2 linked regions of the Notamacropus eugenii genome follow. The main gene of each other region encodes a partner of the protein of the gene in region 2 in a complex. Links are inferred from orthologs where the notes say so. Each region holds a gene or a part of one and is shown on either strand. Other genes may lie near its edges.

Region 1 (7,800 bases), about 91 Mb from region 2:
GTAATATTTGTGTGATTTTAGGTAAACTCCTTGGCCCCCAATTTTCTTAGGGAGTTGGAATAAAAAACCTCTGAGGAGTCTTCCAGCTCTAAATTTGGGATTCTATGATCTTTTTTAGGCTTACATACTATCATATAGCCTCATGTATTGTTCTCAGTTTAATGTAATTCTCAGAGAAACTATAAGCTGTCAGGGCAAAGACTCAGGCACATGAAATGGTTTCTTTGTATGAGGTAAAAAATTAAAGTACCAGGTTCAGATCCTTGCTTTCAGGTCTACTTGAGACTGTACCCTAAAATTGTTGTTGGGGTCCCACCCCCATGATGCACTTGGGAGTTTCTGTCTCCTCCTCCCTCCAATCATCCAGCATCTGCTCCAAGTCTATCCACTGATTAAAGTAATCAGAGTACAATGGAAACAACACTGAATTTGAAGTCGGAGGACCAAAGATCCAGAAGATTGCAAACTCTTGGAGAATAGGGATTGTTTTGTCCTTGTTACCCCTAGTTCTTAACACAGGGTCTGAGGCTTAGTGATTGTCAAATTGAATTGAATTTCAAAGTGCAAGCTGCCTTGAAGGTCAATGAGTCCAAACTTCCCATTTTACAGATAAGGAAACCGAGGCCCTGAGAGGTTGTGACTTGCCTGAGAATAACAGACATTTAAATAATATAGACAGTACTTAAACCCAGGTTCTCTAAATCTAAATCCAGCACTCATTCCATTATTAACATAGTCTAATCTGCACTTTTGCTATGTTTGTGACCTGGGCATATCACTTAGCTCTCAGTTTTTTCATCCATAAAACAGAAGGGGATTGGATAATAGGCTCTCTGTGTTCCCTTCCAGCCCTAAATCATTGACCCCAAAGAGTCATCCACTAAGGGAATCTAGTTTAAATCCCTCCACTCCAGGAGCTCCACTCCCCTTCATACCATGCAGTCCATAAGGATGAATTTGAGATTGTCTTCGTTAAAGGCTTGGTTCCCATTCCGGTCGTAGGCAGCCCAGATGTTACTGGCGATGGCAGCAGTGACCCTAGCATCGGTGTCCCCATAACCAGAGTAGGCCAGCAGGGAGCCCTCATTATTCAGCAACCTGGGGAGGGGGGATATAGTTAAAATGACTGGCTGGAGTCCTATGAATGTGTTCCGGGGTGAGAAGCCTGAGTTCCCTCTCCTAGATTTCGCTTTCCCCAGGGGTTGGGGCCCCAAGCTAAAAGCTATCAGCCTCCCCCCGCGACACACACACACTTTCTGAAAACCACTGCCCTCTTCTTCCCCCTTCCTTCCCTTCCCCCCTGCCCAAATCTTTCTTCTTCCCTCAGTCCCGCCACCCATTCCTCATCCAGGTTTCATTTCCCTAATAGCTCAAATTCCAGGAAAGCAAAGCTTGTTTCATTTTTGTCCATGAACCCCCCAAACCCCTGCACGGGGGCTGCCATCCAGTAGGGACGCCTTAACAAATGCTGGCTGACGGACCGATGGATTGATTGATAGCGTGCCCCTTTTCCTACACCTCCGTGTTCCTGGGGTCTCTTCCTCCCTTCCTGGGGTATGCAGAGCTCCCACTCCCGGGCCGGACTACAGGCTTGTTCCAATCCCAGCTAGGATGCACTGCATCCTGCCCCTTCTCCCCAGGGCACCCCCTACCCCCAACACTTACAGTGTGCTCTGGACGCCTCCGGTGTTGGCTTGACTTAGCACCTGGGTCAGGGCCTTGGGGCGAAGCATGACGACCGCTCCGAGTCCCCGCAACCCGGTCTACGTCCTGGATCCCTAGGGTCTTCCCCTGGCTCGCACTAGGTCGGACGCTTCCCGTAGCCCCGGCCGGTTCCCCCGGGGCTCACTGGGAATTGTAGTCTCCACCGGTAATGATCATTGCAGGCCTCCGTGGTAGGGCACCCTGGAAATTGTAGTTCTTTCTCAGCCCGAGAGGCATCTTGGGGGCCGTAGTCCAACATGCGAGGAGTAAAGACTCACCGAGGACATTTAAGCCGTCCCGGGAGCCTGGAGTAGTGTGGTCCGCACGTAATGAGTCATTTATTTAATTTTTGTGTGTGTGCGCAAATCTTTGCGCTTTGCAAGGTACTTTCATATAAATCAACAAGCATTTATTAAGCATGTAGCAGGCACTGTGCTAAACCTAAATTGCCCTTAATAATCATGTGGGGTAGGAAGGTTAAGTATTATTAATCTCCATTTTATATAAATGGGGATAAAAAGTCGTGACTTGCCCAAGGTCACACAGCTAGCTCCTACTTGAGCTGTTGTTTCCCTGTCTAGTGCTCTTTTCACTCCAGCATACTACTTTTGTTTTTATTTAAGAGAGGAGGTTAGAAGAAGAGGGAATTTAGCATAAAGCATCAGATGTTAGATTCCAATCAACCAGCAAACATTTATTAAGCTAAAAATACCCAGGTTCAAGTTCTGCCCCTGCCACACAATGACTGGGTAAATCTGAGCAAGTCATTTAACCTCCTTTCTGCAGACAACTAAGGGGATAAATTGCAGAGAAGGTGCTGGCCTGCACTGGTAAAAGGAATGTCCCCACCCAGGAGTTCCCTGCACCAAAGAAATCACAGCCTTATTCCTATCAAGCACAAAATCTTCTAGGTTCTAGTGACTGGGAGACACTTTACACAGGATTACAAAAGATCGAGGCTATTTGATTCTGAAGGGGAAGGAAGACTCCTAACTAGGGGAGGAGAAATGACCCTCAGAGGAAAGCTAAATGTCATCAGAAGGAGAGAAGTTTATAAGGTCAAGAAACAGAAGAGGAGTAGCTGTGGCACTGACCATTTTCTTATTTCTCAGGGCTGAAACCTTTCTTGTGTGTTGTCTCCCCATTAGAACCCGGTCTCCTGTAGATCAGGGACTGTCTTACTTCTCTTCTTCCCCAGGACATAACAGTACGTCAGTCAATAAATATTCAGCACCTACTGGGTGCCAGATACAGGGTTGTGCATAGATTAAATGCTTAATAATTTTTTTCATCCACCCATTTACACAGTAAACATCTGAGGCTGAATTCGAACCCAGGTCTTCTTGATTCCTTTTTGTCCTGTGAGACAAGAGACCTTTCCAATCCAGTGACCATCAGGACCCTTTAAAGTCAATGACCGTCCCGTCCAGTGAACTTTCTCCCTCCTAGACACATTGTCCCCGGTGCTGCCGTGACTCCCCCAGTCCGCTGGGGGCGCTGTAACCGCCGAGAGCTAGAGAAGGAAGAGAAGCGGAGACTCGCGGGGCGGGGCGGGCGCGGCTGCGGCGGCGGCGGAGGCGGCGGCGGCGGCAGGGGGGGGGGAGGGACGGAGGGCGGGCAGGAGAAGGCTGGGGTGGGGGGGGAGGGCTGGGGACGCCGTGGCCGGGCCGGGCCGGGCGGGGAGGAGGAGCCGGGGCCGGGCTGGCGGGCGGGCGGACGGCGGCGGCGGCATGGCGGAGCCGAACGGGGCCGGAGCCGGGGCCGGGGCCGGGACCGGGACCGGGACAGGGGCCGCGTCCGGAACCGGTGCCGAGCCGGGGCCAGGGCCCCCGATCCGGGTCACCGTCAAGACCCCCAAGGACAAGGAGGAGATCGTGATCTGCGATCGCGCCTCGGTGAAGGAGGTATGGACGCCGCTGGCCGTTCGGCGGGCCGCGGAGGCGGGAGGAGCGGCGCGCTGGGGGCCGGGCCGGGCCGGGCGCGGGCGTGCAGGGAGGGACGGAGGGGGCGGGGAGGGACGGCCGGGGGGAGGGGAGAGGAAGGAGGGGGCCTCTGGCACATGGTGGGGAGGGGAGGGAAAGGGGAGGCTCGTCCATCCCTGGAAGCAGACGGGAGGTGGGGGGCGAAGAGAGGTTGCAGGAGTGGGGTCAGGGGGCTGTCTGACCCACGAGGGTCCGGGCAGGCTAGAAAGTGAGGAGGCGGCGTACCCCCAGTCCCAGTCCTGGAGCTCGGAAGGGCCAGAAGCTGGCCCTAAGGGATGAGAGGAGAAAGCCCCCCATGCCCCAAATGCCCCATTCAGGGAAATGCCCTTTTCCTTTAAGACCCTGCTTGCCCCCACAGAGTGCTGGTTGTAGGCTGCCTTGGTCCTGATCCCCTCCTTTACTGCCTTAGCCTAGAATGAGTTTAAAGATAACGGCACCCCCAAGTTTAAAGGTGGAGAGTAAGAGAAAACTGAAGGGGGAGATCCAAGTGAGGAAAGAAAGGTTAGATAGTAGCAAGGAGTTGATTTTTTTTTGGGAGAGGGTGATACTGTGTTATGGACAAAAGAGTCAGAGAAACTGACTTGGTTAGAATTTAAACTCCTCAGTTTACTTTGGATAAGCCGGTCCACCCCCTCAGTTAGCTCATCTCTTGGGGTTGGCCTAAGTGGTCTGTAAGGTCCCTCTCAGCTCCAAATCCTGTGATCAAGGGAGGACTAGAGCCCCTGTGGTCTTCATCTCAGTAGAGTATGCAGCAGGACACAGAGGTGCTAGATTGGAGGAAAGATTTCTGATGACTGGAAATTGGAGCAAGGATTCTGAAGAAGAGTCTGAGCTGTTGGACAGTCTTTCTGTGAGGCAGGCCACACTGACCCTGGACCTTTGACCTGATATCACAGTTCAAAGAGGAGATCTCCCGGAGGTTTAAAGCCCAGCAAGACCAGCTTGTCCTGATCTTCGCTGGCAAGATTCTCAAAGATGGAGACACGTTAAATCAACATGGGATCAAGGATGGGCTCACTGTCCATTTGGTGATCAAGACCCCGCAGAAGTAAGTTTGGGATAACCAATAGGAGCTGCCCTTTGAATGGTCCTTGAAAGGCTACTGCTTTCTTACTCATCCTAACCCAATGGAAATCGTTTAGAGGTCTGAGAAGGAGATGCTATAGTCTTGATTGCGAGTTTGGGCTTTTTAAGTGTATAAAATTTAACTTAACATCCTCCTAGTATAATGTTACTTCCCTAGAAAAAATGGAGGCTAGTGTCTTACCCTTTTAAAAATCCTTGCTGAGAAGTTCAGTCCTTTATTAGTTTTCCATTTTCTTAAAGAAATAATTCTTTTGGAAAAAATTTTATTGATGACTTTTCTTTGAATGCCATGTGACTTTTCAGTCATTCTGTCTTCCTCTATTCTACAAAATAGTACTCTTCTCTTGTAGGAAAGAAAAACTGTAGTAAAGCAAAACAAACCATCATATTGACTGTTTCAGCCAGGTACCTCATTCTGCATTTGTAGTCCTTCATTGTTCTGTCAAGCAGAGGAAAGTGGTTTTGGCCATTTTCAGTTTTCTGACGTTGAGATTGGTCACTGCCTGGATCAAGTAACAATGGCTAGCATTTATACAGCACTTTAAGTTTTATAAGCCATTTTACCTCATTTGATCTTCAGCACTGGGAGTGCTCTTGCCCACTGTAGTCCCTAGCAGCCTAATGTTCTGATGGCTTTCATTGTTTTCCTTTACTTTAGTATGATCTTTCAGTAAATGATCATAATCAATTTCTAGTTCTGCTCATTTTACTCTGCATCAGTTCATTCAAGTCTTTCCAAGTTTCCCTGAACTCTTCTTATTTGTCATTTCTTATGGCACAATAAGATTCCATGGCATTCATGGTACAATTGAAAAGAGCCTTGGGTTTAGAGTCAGAACATTGGCTCAAACCCTGCCCAACACTTGCAACCTCTTTGACCTTGGACAAATCTCTTAACCTCACCAGGCCTTAGTTTCCTTGTCTGTAAAATGAAAGATGGACTCCTAGCTTCTTTATTTCCAGTTTCTTGCTATCTCAGAAAGTATTGTTATAAATATTTTTGTGTATGTGGACCCTTTCCCTTTGTCCTTGACATCCTTAGGATATGTCAATAAATCAGTCGCTAAGTCAATAAACGTTTACTAAGCACCTACTATATGCCTGGCCCTGTGTTAAAAGGGAAAGTCCCTGCCCTCTAGGAGCTTCCAATCTAATGTGGGAAGATTATATACAAAAGGCAGGTAAAGGGGGGAGGGGTAGTACCTGACTTGGGGGCATGGTGGAGAAGTCAGAAAAGTTCCAGAGGAGTGAGATCAGGTGAGAAATGAGATGTTCTGAGCCCAGCTCCCTGCTTAAATAGAGTTTTGAAAGTTCATGGCACCACCTTTCAATCAGAAGGGCAGAGGGTAGTAAAGAAGTGAAGTCCTAGGGCTGAAAAGACCTTTCAGGATGGTGAGATTTTCCCAATAATGAGCTTCTTTGACCCTGGTGGAGAAGTCACAGATGTCCCAGAGTAGTACTCAGGTGCGAAATAAGGAGGCCCAATACTGGTATTACTGGGGGTGAGTGTGTGGGCGTGTAGTTCAGCCCGGTTCCAAATTGTTTTCTAGAACACTTAGATCGGTTCATAGCTCTACCAACAGTATGAATGTGCTCATCTTCCCTCATATCAGCTAACATTTACCCTTTACCATGTAGTCATCTTTACCTGTGTGCTGGGTGTAGGGTAAAACCTGAGTTCTTTTCATTTTCATTTCTCTTATTATTAGTGATTTGAAACATACTTTCATGCGGTTGTCAATAGTTTGCAGTTTTCATTTGAAAACTGCCTGTCCATGGCTTTTAACCATTTTATATATTGAGAAATTTCTCTAATTCTTGTGTGTGTGTCTCTATATGTATATATGTACATGTATAAACATGCACATGTATGTACATATGCACACATATATGTATGTGTATACGCAGGCATATATGTGGATATGTATATATATTCCTATAGTGCACATATATGTATATTATTTCAATACGTATGTACACATACCTTGGGTGGTCAATGCTGTTATCCCCGTTTTATAGATGAAGAAACAGATTGAGAGAGGTTGAATGACTTCCCAAGGCCCCACAGCTGGTAAAAGTCGGAGGCAGGTTCTGAGCCCAGGTCTTTGGCTCCAGGTCCAGGAATCTTATCTTCCCCCTAGCTGACTATATATATGAGTTCTCTCTATCTCTTGGTAGACTTCTCGTTTCTAGTTCTGTGGCCTCTTTTGGCCGTTTTTTGGCTGAGACCCTGAGACTTGAGAGGAATCAGTAGGGTGTTAAAAAGAACATATTTTTTAAAGCTAAATTCTAGCATGGAGAACCACAAGCTGTTGGGAAAGTCAGCATCATCTTCCATAGCAGTCTAGGGACAGTGATCTGAATGGGCAAAGAGCAGCAACCTTTGAGCTGAAAGCTCTGAGTTCCATCATTGTAACTCCTCTTTACTAACTGTGGCTGTGGGCAACGACATCATTGACCTCTCTGAGTTTCATCTGTACAGTGGGAATGCTATATGTACTATTTCCCCCAGGAGGTTGTGAGGGAGGAATGAGAACTCACCATGTAGTGTAGTGGATGGAAAGCTGGCCTGAAGGCCAGGAAGACCTGGGCTCAAGTCTTACCTTAGACATGTATTGACTGTGTGACCCTGGGCAAGTCTCCTCTCACTGCTCTAGGTAGTTCTCTAAGACTCTTAAGTTACAGAGGAGTTGTCAGCTTATATTGGTGGACACTTGCTGGTTGTGTTACCTTGGGTAAGTCACTTAACTTCTCTGTCTGCCTTAGTTCCCTCATCTGTAAAAGGGGGATAGTAAGAGCACCTACCACTCAGGGTTATTGTGAGGATCAAGTGATGTGATATTTGTGAAGCACTTAGCATAATAACCTGCACATAGTAGGTTATATAAATAATTGTTTTCTAACTTGGTAGAGGGAGATTCTTCACCTTGAGAGTATCAGTGAAATCACAGCTCTGTTGCCTTTTCTTAGCCCTACTATGTGCTAAGGACTAGGGACAGAAACACAAAAGCAAGACAGTCTGCCCACA
Region 2 (7,383 bases):
TCTTTAGCAACCTTCTCACTTATAATCTTCCTTCTTACTCCTCCCTGCCATTAAAAAACAACAAAACCACCAGCCTCCTATGGTTACCTGCCTGAAAGGTTCCAAATAAGGGCCTGGTGAAGATGTGCTGGAGTCTGAGCCAGTCAAGCTCATTTCAGAGATGAAAACAATGTTTGGCCGTCCGGTTTTTTTTAGCTACAGCATATCAATTAAATAAACATTTGTTAAGCGCTTATTATGTGCAAAGCCCTATGCTAGGAATACTGGAAAAAAACAAAAACATAGTCCCTGTCCTCAAGGAGCTTATTTTATGAAAGGTACACAACTTCAACACATGATAAATGAAAAAGGAGGTTACACTAACATGGTAGGGGAGATGAGAGGAAAGGTTTCCTATGAGAGTTGGTACTACAGTAGAACCTTAGAAGCAGCCATCAAGTAACTCTTAAGAGGTAACAATGAGAAAGGAGTCTCTTTACAAAGGTGGTGGTGGGAAGTGGGGAGGGGGGGTTGCCTGTGCAAAATTAGAGATGGGAAATGGCATGCCAAGATCTGAAAATAGATAATTTGCCAACATGGCTGGAATACAGAGCATATGAAGCAGAATATAAAGAAACAAGGCAACAAAGATAAGCCAGGCTGAGACACAGAATGATTCAGGGGATAGACACTGAAGGGGATAGATACATTAATTGAACACAGGTAAACTACTGAACTTCTCTGAATTTCAGATTACTCAGCTGTAAAATGGAGTATAATAAAACCTGCGGGGCTTGCTTCACAAGACTGTTCTGAGGTCCAAATAAAATGTCCATAAAGTAGTGTCAGTTGTTATTATGGGAGGCTCAAGGCTAAGGAGTTTGTACTTTATGCTCTAGACAATGAGGAGACACAAGATTTTTGAGGAAAAGTGTCATGCTCAGATCTGAATTAGGAAAGTACTTTTAGCAGCTGAAAGGAGAATGGAGAGACTGGGAGGCTATTACAATACAAAAGTGCAGGCAAGAAGCAATAAAGATCTGAACTAGGGTGGTAGCCATTCTGAGTGATGACAAGGGATGGGAGAACAAACAGGAGTTGGCAAGTGGGGGGGGGGAGGGAGAAGGAAAAACCAAGGATGAGCAATTTTAGGGGAAAAGGTTTCAAGATGAAAACAATTCTGTTTTGAACAAGTTAAGTTTGCCACACACTGTCAAACATCAGGCTTCCATAATGTAGAAATGGAATTTAGGAAAAGGTGTGAGTTGGAAACAAGTCCTTAGTGTAGAGATACACTGAACCTGTAGGAACAGATGATACCAAGGAGAACATGTACCATGAAGAGGAATCAGAACAGCTGTAGAGGGTCAGCCACAGTAAAGGAGGTAGGGGATGGACGGCATTTCAGCAAGAGAGACATTTCATAGGATGAAGGCAGACAAGAAGAACAGTAGAGAGAAATGCCACGGAATCCAAATAAGGAGAATATATTCAAGAAAGGATGGTCAATAGTGTCAAAGCTTCAGAGAAATCAAGGTGCAGGAGGACTGAGGAAAAGTCACTGGATTCAGCAGGTAAAGAGATCCTTGGTAACCTTGGAGGAAGCCCAATTACCTGTAGTCCAGAAATGAGTGTCTGGTAAAGAAACAGAGGTCTGGAATACAGACAATTTTCCCAAGAAGTCAGGCACTGAAAAAGAATGGCAGCATGGGGGAGGGCATGGGCGAATAAACGTAAAATGATAGGGGGTGGAGTGGGGTGAGGCAACGAAGTCCTCCCCGTCCTAAGTAATCTCCCAAATAATCCCTAGTTACATACCCTAAGACCAGAATTCGGAAATAACTGATGAAACAGGCTCTTTGAAGCCGAGCTTGGGGGCCTTTTTAGGGAGGGCTGTGTCTTCCAAAGACACCCAAGCAAGGAAGGACAGACGGGACAGGTGGAGATGGGCAAGAGTTAGAAGACTGCCTCGAGGACCCACCTGAGATTATGTAACAAACCAGGGACAATTCACAAAAATCCTCCACCCCAGGTTAAAGAAAGACCAACGTTTTCTACAGTGAAATGAGTAGCTACACAGTGAAACCACACACTTTTTTAAGTACTAGGGAGACGTAGCCCTCCCTCCCCTGCTAAAATGCAACGACATCAACCTATGGGCCAACCGGGCACCTGGCCCATCAGCACGTACACCACCTGTCGATGCCCTTCTTAGAGAACACCTGTGCCAACAGGGCCCCCAAGGTCTGGGGACGCGGCCTCGGCTCTTCTCCCCCGGGGCACCCCGTATCCTAAGTGGGGGAGTCCCATCTTCCGCGGAGGCTTCCCCTGCTCGTGCCCCCGGGGGTGGGGCCTTGCTCGAAGGATTACCTTCTTTCTTATCCACAACCCCCTGCCGGTGGTCCTCCCCCGTTAGAACGCGGCATCCTCGGGGGCGGGAGCCACCCCGACCTCCTTCCGCATCCCCGGCGCGTCCGGCACACCGGAGGCCCGTGCCTGCCCCCGCCCCCGGTCCGGGCACAAGCTCCCTGCCAAGGCGCTACTTACAGCCCAGGTTCAGTCCCTGCGAGTCCGTGCACAGGACGCCGACGATGGACGGGTTCTTCATCCTAACACAGACCAGACGCCGAGGTTACAGGAGCGAACCGGGCGGCCCCCCACACCTCCCACGTCTTCCCTCCGGGACCGGGCCTCGACTAGGCCACCGAAGTGCCCGGCCCGCCCGTGCCCACACTACCCACGTGTCCTCGAGGTGCTGCTCCAGGGTCGCTTCCATCTCGGGTTTTGACAGTAAGTTGAGTCCAGGCCGCTCACGGGACGTCGCGTCATGTGACCGCCCTCCTCTGGCCACGTGATGCAACCACGCGGCTTCAGCAGGTACGGCGCAACAGCCGCGGGACGGGGCTTCCGACGGGACAAAAATCATCAACTCGCGTTAGGAATTAAAAACATTTCCCCTCTCCCCACCTCTTCCTCTCTGTGTCAGGAGTCTGGAGTCTGCGCAGACGCCGCCCAGTAGGGTACTGTATCCACGGGGCCCTCACTGGCAGGGAGGGGAAGCCACCTCCAAGACCTCTGGCGGCGGAGGAGCGTCCTCTGGGCGTCAAGGCCTCCGGTTGTCATGGTTACCCTCGAGTCAGCGCCGAGAAGGGTGGGGGGAGGAGGAGGGGCGAGGGGCCCCGCCTATTGCTCCCGGACTTCCCTCCCTCCCCTCCCCCACGGTGGCGAGCTCCGCCCTACACCCTGGGCGGCGCCTCACGCAGAATTAGCCTCGGCCTGGATGGGAGGGGACGTGTGCAGAGTGGGCCCTGCCGCCGACCGCGTGACCCGGGGGCAGTCACTTCCCTTCCCTCCCTGCCTCAGTTTCCTTCTCTCCAAAATGTCAGGAAGAGGGCTTTTTCGCTCTTTGGGCCCTCGAACTAATGGCAAAACCCACGGACCCCTTAGAATCATGTTTTAAAGTGTGTGAAATAAAATACACAAGACTACAAAGGAAATAACCCTGAAAGTGATCCGTGTATACATAAACATACATATATGTAATTTCTATTTTAAAAATATAAAAATGTAATTTATAGAGATGTAACACTATGACATCTATAAATACGCCTAATATAGAAAACATTAAAATACACATATGTAACAATTACAAGTAAACGGTCTGTACACATACCTTCGATCATCATATACATTCATATCACTTCTGTGGTCATATACATACACACGTTTAAAAAACCCAGTTCTCGGACCTCAGGCTAAGACCCTCGGAACTAAACCAGTCCAGCCCTCCCGGTTTACTTGACGTGAGTGCGAAAATACCCATTTCTGCGGGGCTTTAAGATTTACAAAGCGTTTTTCTCAAAACAGCCTTTTCTTCAGCACCCTCCTGTGGCTCCCTGTTGTCCTCCACGATCACACAGAAACAGCCCCTGTCTGGCTTCCAAAGCCCTTCCCAACCTGGCTCCTGGCCACCTGTCCAGGTATCCCACACCTGGAGCGAGCCCCGCCCACCTCTGGTCTGACCCTGCTTTGCTCCCCCTCCCGCACAACCCTGCATCTCCCCGGGGAGAGGGTTTCCACTCTCCGCCTCCCATGCCTCCAAGTCTCGCTCTCCTCATCTCCACCCCTCCTGCCTTCCAGAATCAGCCAAAGTCCCTCCTTGTGCTGGAAACCCTCCCACCGTCCCCCTTGATCTTGGTGTCTGAGATGACCCCTAATTTATTGTTGGCATGCTTTCTCCCCCATTAGACTGTGAACTCCTTGAGAGCAGGGACTGATTTCTTTTTGCCTTTCTTTGTACCCCCACTCAGCACAGTGCCTGTCATAGAACAGCCCCTTAATAAATGTTAATTGATGGACTGATGGGACAAGACAAGTGTTACACCATTTCAGAAATGCCCCATGGCTAAAACCGATGCTCCACCCCTGTTCTCTATTCAATTTCTAATCCTTTCTTCCATCCTTCTCTTGTCTTGAAGTTTTCTTCCACTGGCTTCTACTCCACCATTTACAAACATGCCCAGGTCTTCCCTACCCTTAAAAAAACAAATCAAAACAAACCTTTAATTTCATTTTTCCATAGAAACTCCTATAAAAAGCTGTCTATACTGGTTAGTAAGCTTCTTCACTCAGTTTTTAAATCACTTGTAAGCTAGCTTCAGGCTCTGTCATTCAAATGAAATTATCCTCTCCAAAGCTACCAACTATTTTATTAAAATAGATTTTTGCTAATTATTTTTTTCACGTCACCTTGGATTTTCCCTTGGATTCCCTTCCGTCACCCTTCCCTTCAAACATCTATCAATATTTGTCATTTTAAAAATGAAAACATCTTAGTATTATTACAAAATAGTTTCTATTTTGTTGTCTTCCTGAAAGGAGGTGTCCCAAAATGGTCTCAGGGATTTGAGGGGTTCCTGAACCACACTTTGAGAGAACCACTGAGTTATACAGAGCACAGAGTATGTGGAAGGGTAATAATATTTAGTGAGCCTTGATAATGTTTAATATAAAATTTTAGAATAATCTCTTTGTTCTCTCTGAAGCAAACTCAGAGGGTGCCTCTTCCTATGTCAGCAAAAGCCAGCCAAGGCTGACTCTACATTCCTTAAGGAGACCTTTAACCTAAGACACTATCTTGAATAATGGGACGTTTTCCATATCTTAATATTTGTAGACCTACACTATGTTATGGCATGTTAATGGTAAAGAAAACACAGACATCTTAGGTCGTAATTTCTATTGAACTTTGTTTACCCTTTCTTATGTCAGTTATCTGTTTAGGGCAGGAAGCCTGCCACTTACTAGTGGTGGGATTTCCTTCTTTATCACCAAGACATATGTTTACCCAGCTGGAATCCCAAGGCCTGACCAACATTACTTTGTTAATTGTCCTGTCTTACTGAATTTATGATTTGTTCAACTAGGAGAGTTCCTTTCTCATGGCAAAATGTATATAAGCCAGAAGATTTCTGCACTGGGTAGCCAGAACATTTCTGGCTCCATAATGCATTATGTTACCGTTGTCTTTAATAGGGAATTGATTAATTAATTAAATCATAAAATGTATGCATTAGCCTGCTGCCTTTTCTTTAACCAAGTTTTCAGGTCAACAGCCTGGAAAGGTCAGCTGGGGCTAGATTCTAACAGGCTTTAAATGTTTTAAATTCAAAACCCCAACAGGTATTTCATCCTAGAAGCATTTGGGAGCCCATTAGAACTTCATTTGTAGAGGAGTCTCTTGGTGAGGCCAGTGCTGTAGGAGTGAATATCCCTTTGGCAACTAAGTCAAGGATGAATTGACTGGAGGAGTAGTTAGGAAGCTACTGCAATAGCCTCAAGAGACAATGAGCAGAGATGGAACAGCTTATGACAGATGTTGTTCAAGCAGACTCTGCGACTGATTCAACAAATGAGTAAGGAGAAAGGCAAGGGAGGAATTGAGGATGACTGAGACACTGCAAATTTGGATTACTACAGGGATGGTGGTGGTTGTTGTTTAGTCATTTCAGTCACGTCTGACTCTTCCTGACCCCATTTGGGGTTTTCTTGGCAAAGATACTGGGGTGGTTTGTCATTTCCTTCTCCAGCTCGTTTGACAGATGAGGAAAGCAAGGCAAACATAGTGAAAGGACTTGCTCAGGGTCACACAGCTAGGAAGTGTAGGAGGCTGGATTTGAACTCAGGAAGATGAGTCTTCCTGACTTCAAGCCTGGCATTCTATCCACTATGCTACCTAGCTGTCTTAAAGTTTTATATCTCCATTGTCTAGCACATGTGATGAGGTTTGGGAGTGCTAGGACCCTGAGAATGCCAAGGCAGAATGAATTCATACACTCAAGCCTTCTCTTAGTCAAGTGCAAAAAGTAAAGCTTTAGCAAAAGCAGGCAAAGATCCTTAAAGGAACCTATAATACAGTTAGGATGGTGCTGGGACTTATATGGAAAAGGGACAAGGGAAAGGATACTGAGGATTCTAATTAGGTAATGCAAAGGTGTCTTTGGGAGCTATGGATGGGAAAATGTAGGGAGCTTTGCAGAGATAGCTGTGTTCATACCAGACATTGAGGGAATTCTTAGAGGCATGGACCGTGGGGATCTGATGTGGTGAGGGGAGTCCTTGGACTAGCCAGGGACAAAAATCCCTGGGCCAGGCACCCCTCTGTCTGTTCTGATAAGAGAATGTATTCTACAACAAGAGAAAATTTTCTCAGAGGACAGGGGTCCACTGAGAAATTGGGAAGTTTTCAGAGACATGATCTTAGGGCTGGGGTCTGAGCACTCCATCACATGTATGTTCAGTCATGTTCAACTCTTCATAACTCCATCTTGCCCATGGGTTTTTCTTGGCAAAGACACTGGAGTTTGCCATTTCCTTTTCTGGTGGAGTAAGACAAACATAGGTTAAGTGACTTGCCCAAATATCCAAGGTCAGATTTTTAGCTCTGGTCTTTCTGACAGTAGGTCCAGTATTTTCACTTAGCTTCCCTCTTTTTATGTAGTGTAGTATTATCTTAAGTGGCCCTACCCACTCCATTCGGCCATTAGATTTAGCAACAAAAGCTTGTTGAAAGCTTTGAAGGGGACAGTTTCAGTTGAATGGTTGGGTCAGAAGCTAAGGAACCTTCAGAAGCCTTCTAGTCCTTTAACCATCCTTAGCCTCTCACATTTCTTCCCTGACCCATTCCTTTGAAGGCTAAAAAGATCCTGTACTAAATCAATATAAATGCAGGGCCAAGAACAAGAGAAGTTTCCAGAAGTTGTCTTGTTATGAAGTTAAGAAATGGAGGAAAAGCCAAGACTTCTTTCATTTTACCTTTCTTTTTTCCCCCTTCCTTTCTTTTAAGTTTTAACATCTTTTATTTTTTACTTTATAAAAATTTCCCCATGTCTTTCCCTTGTAACA

The links.
Region 1: LAMTOR5 (region 2) and LAMTOR2 share a complex: the UniProt entries of both Homo sapiens proteins name them as parts of the ragulator complex. The link is inferred for Notamacropus eugenii from reciprocal best matches to the Homo sapiens genes LAMTOR5 and LAMTOR2.

What each region holds. Positions count from the first base shown.
Region 1 is NC_092873.1:380,136,713-380,144,512, reverse strand, and holds the start of LAMTOR2 (ragulator complex protein LAMTOR2), read right to left. Parts: upstream 3,267-7,800; 5' UTR 2,799-3,266; intron 1,906-2,798; 5' UTR 1,734-1,905; coding exon 1,666-1,733; intron 1,099-1,665; coding exon 936-1,098; intron 1-935. Other genes in the region: UBQLN4 (ubiquilin-4), read left to right, coding at 3,435-3,608, 4,583-4,734. UniProt on the Homo sapiens protein: As part of the Ragulator complex it is involved in amino acid sensing and activation of mTORC1, a signaling complex promoting cell growth in response to growth factors, energy levels, and amino acids.
Region 2 is NC_092873.1:288,911,653-288,919,035, forward strand, and holds the start of LAMTOR5 (ragulator complex protein LAMTOR5), read right to left. Parts: upstream 3,199-7,383; 5' UTR 2,906-3,198; coding exon 2,721-2,905; intron 2,589-2,720; coding exon 2,527-2,588; intron 1-2,526. UniProt on the Homo sapiens protein: As part of the Ragulator complex it is involved in amino acid sensing and activation of mTORC1, a signaling complex promoting cell growth in response to growth factors, energy levels, and amino acids.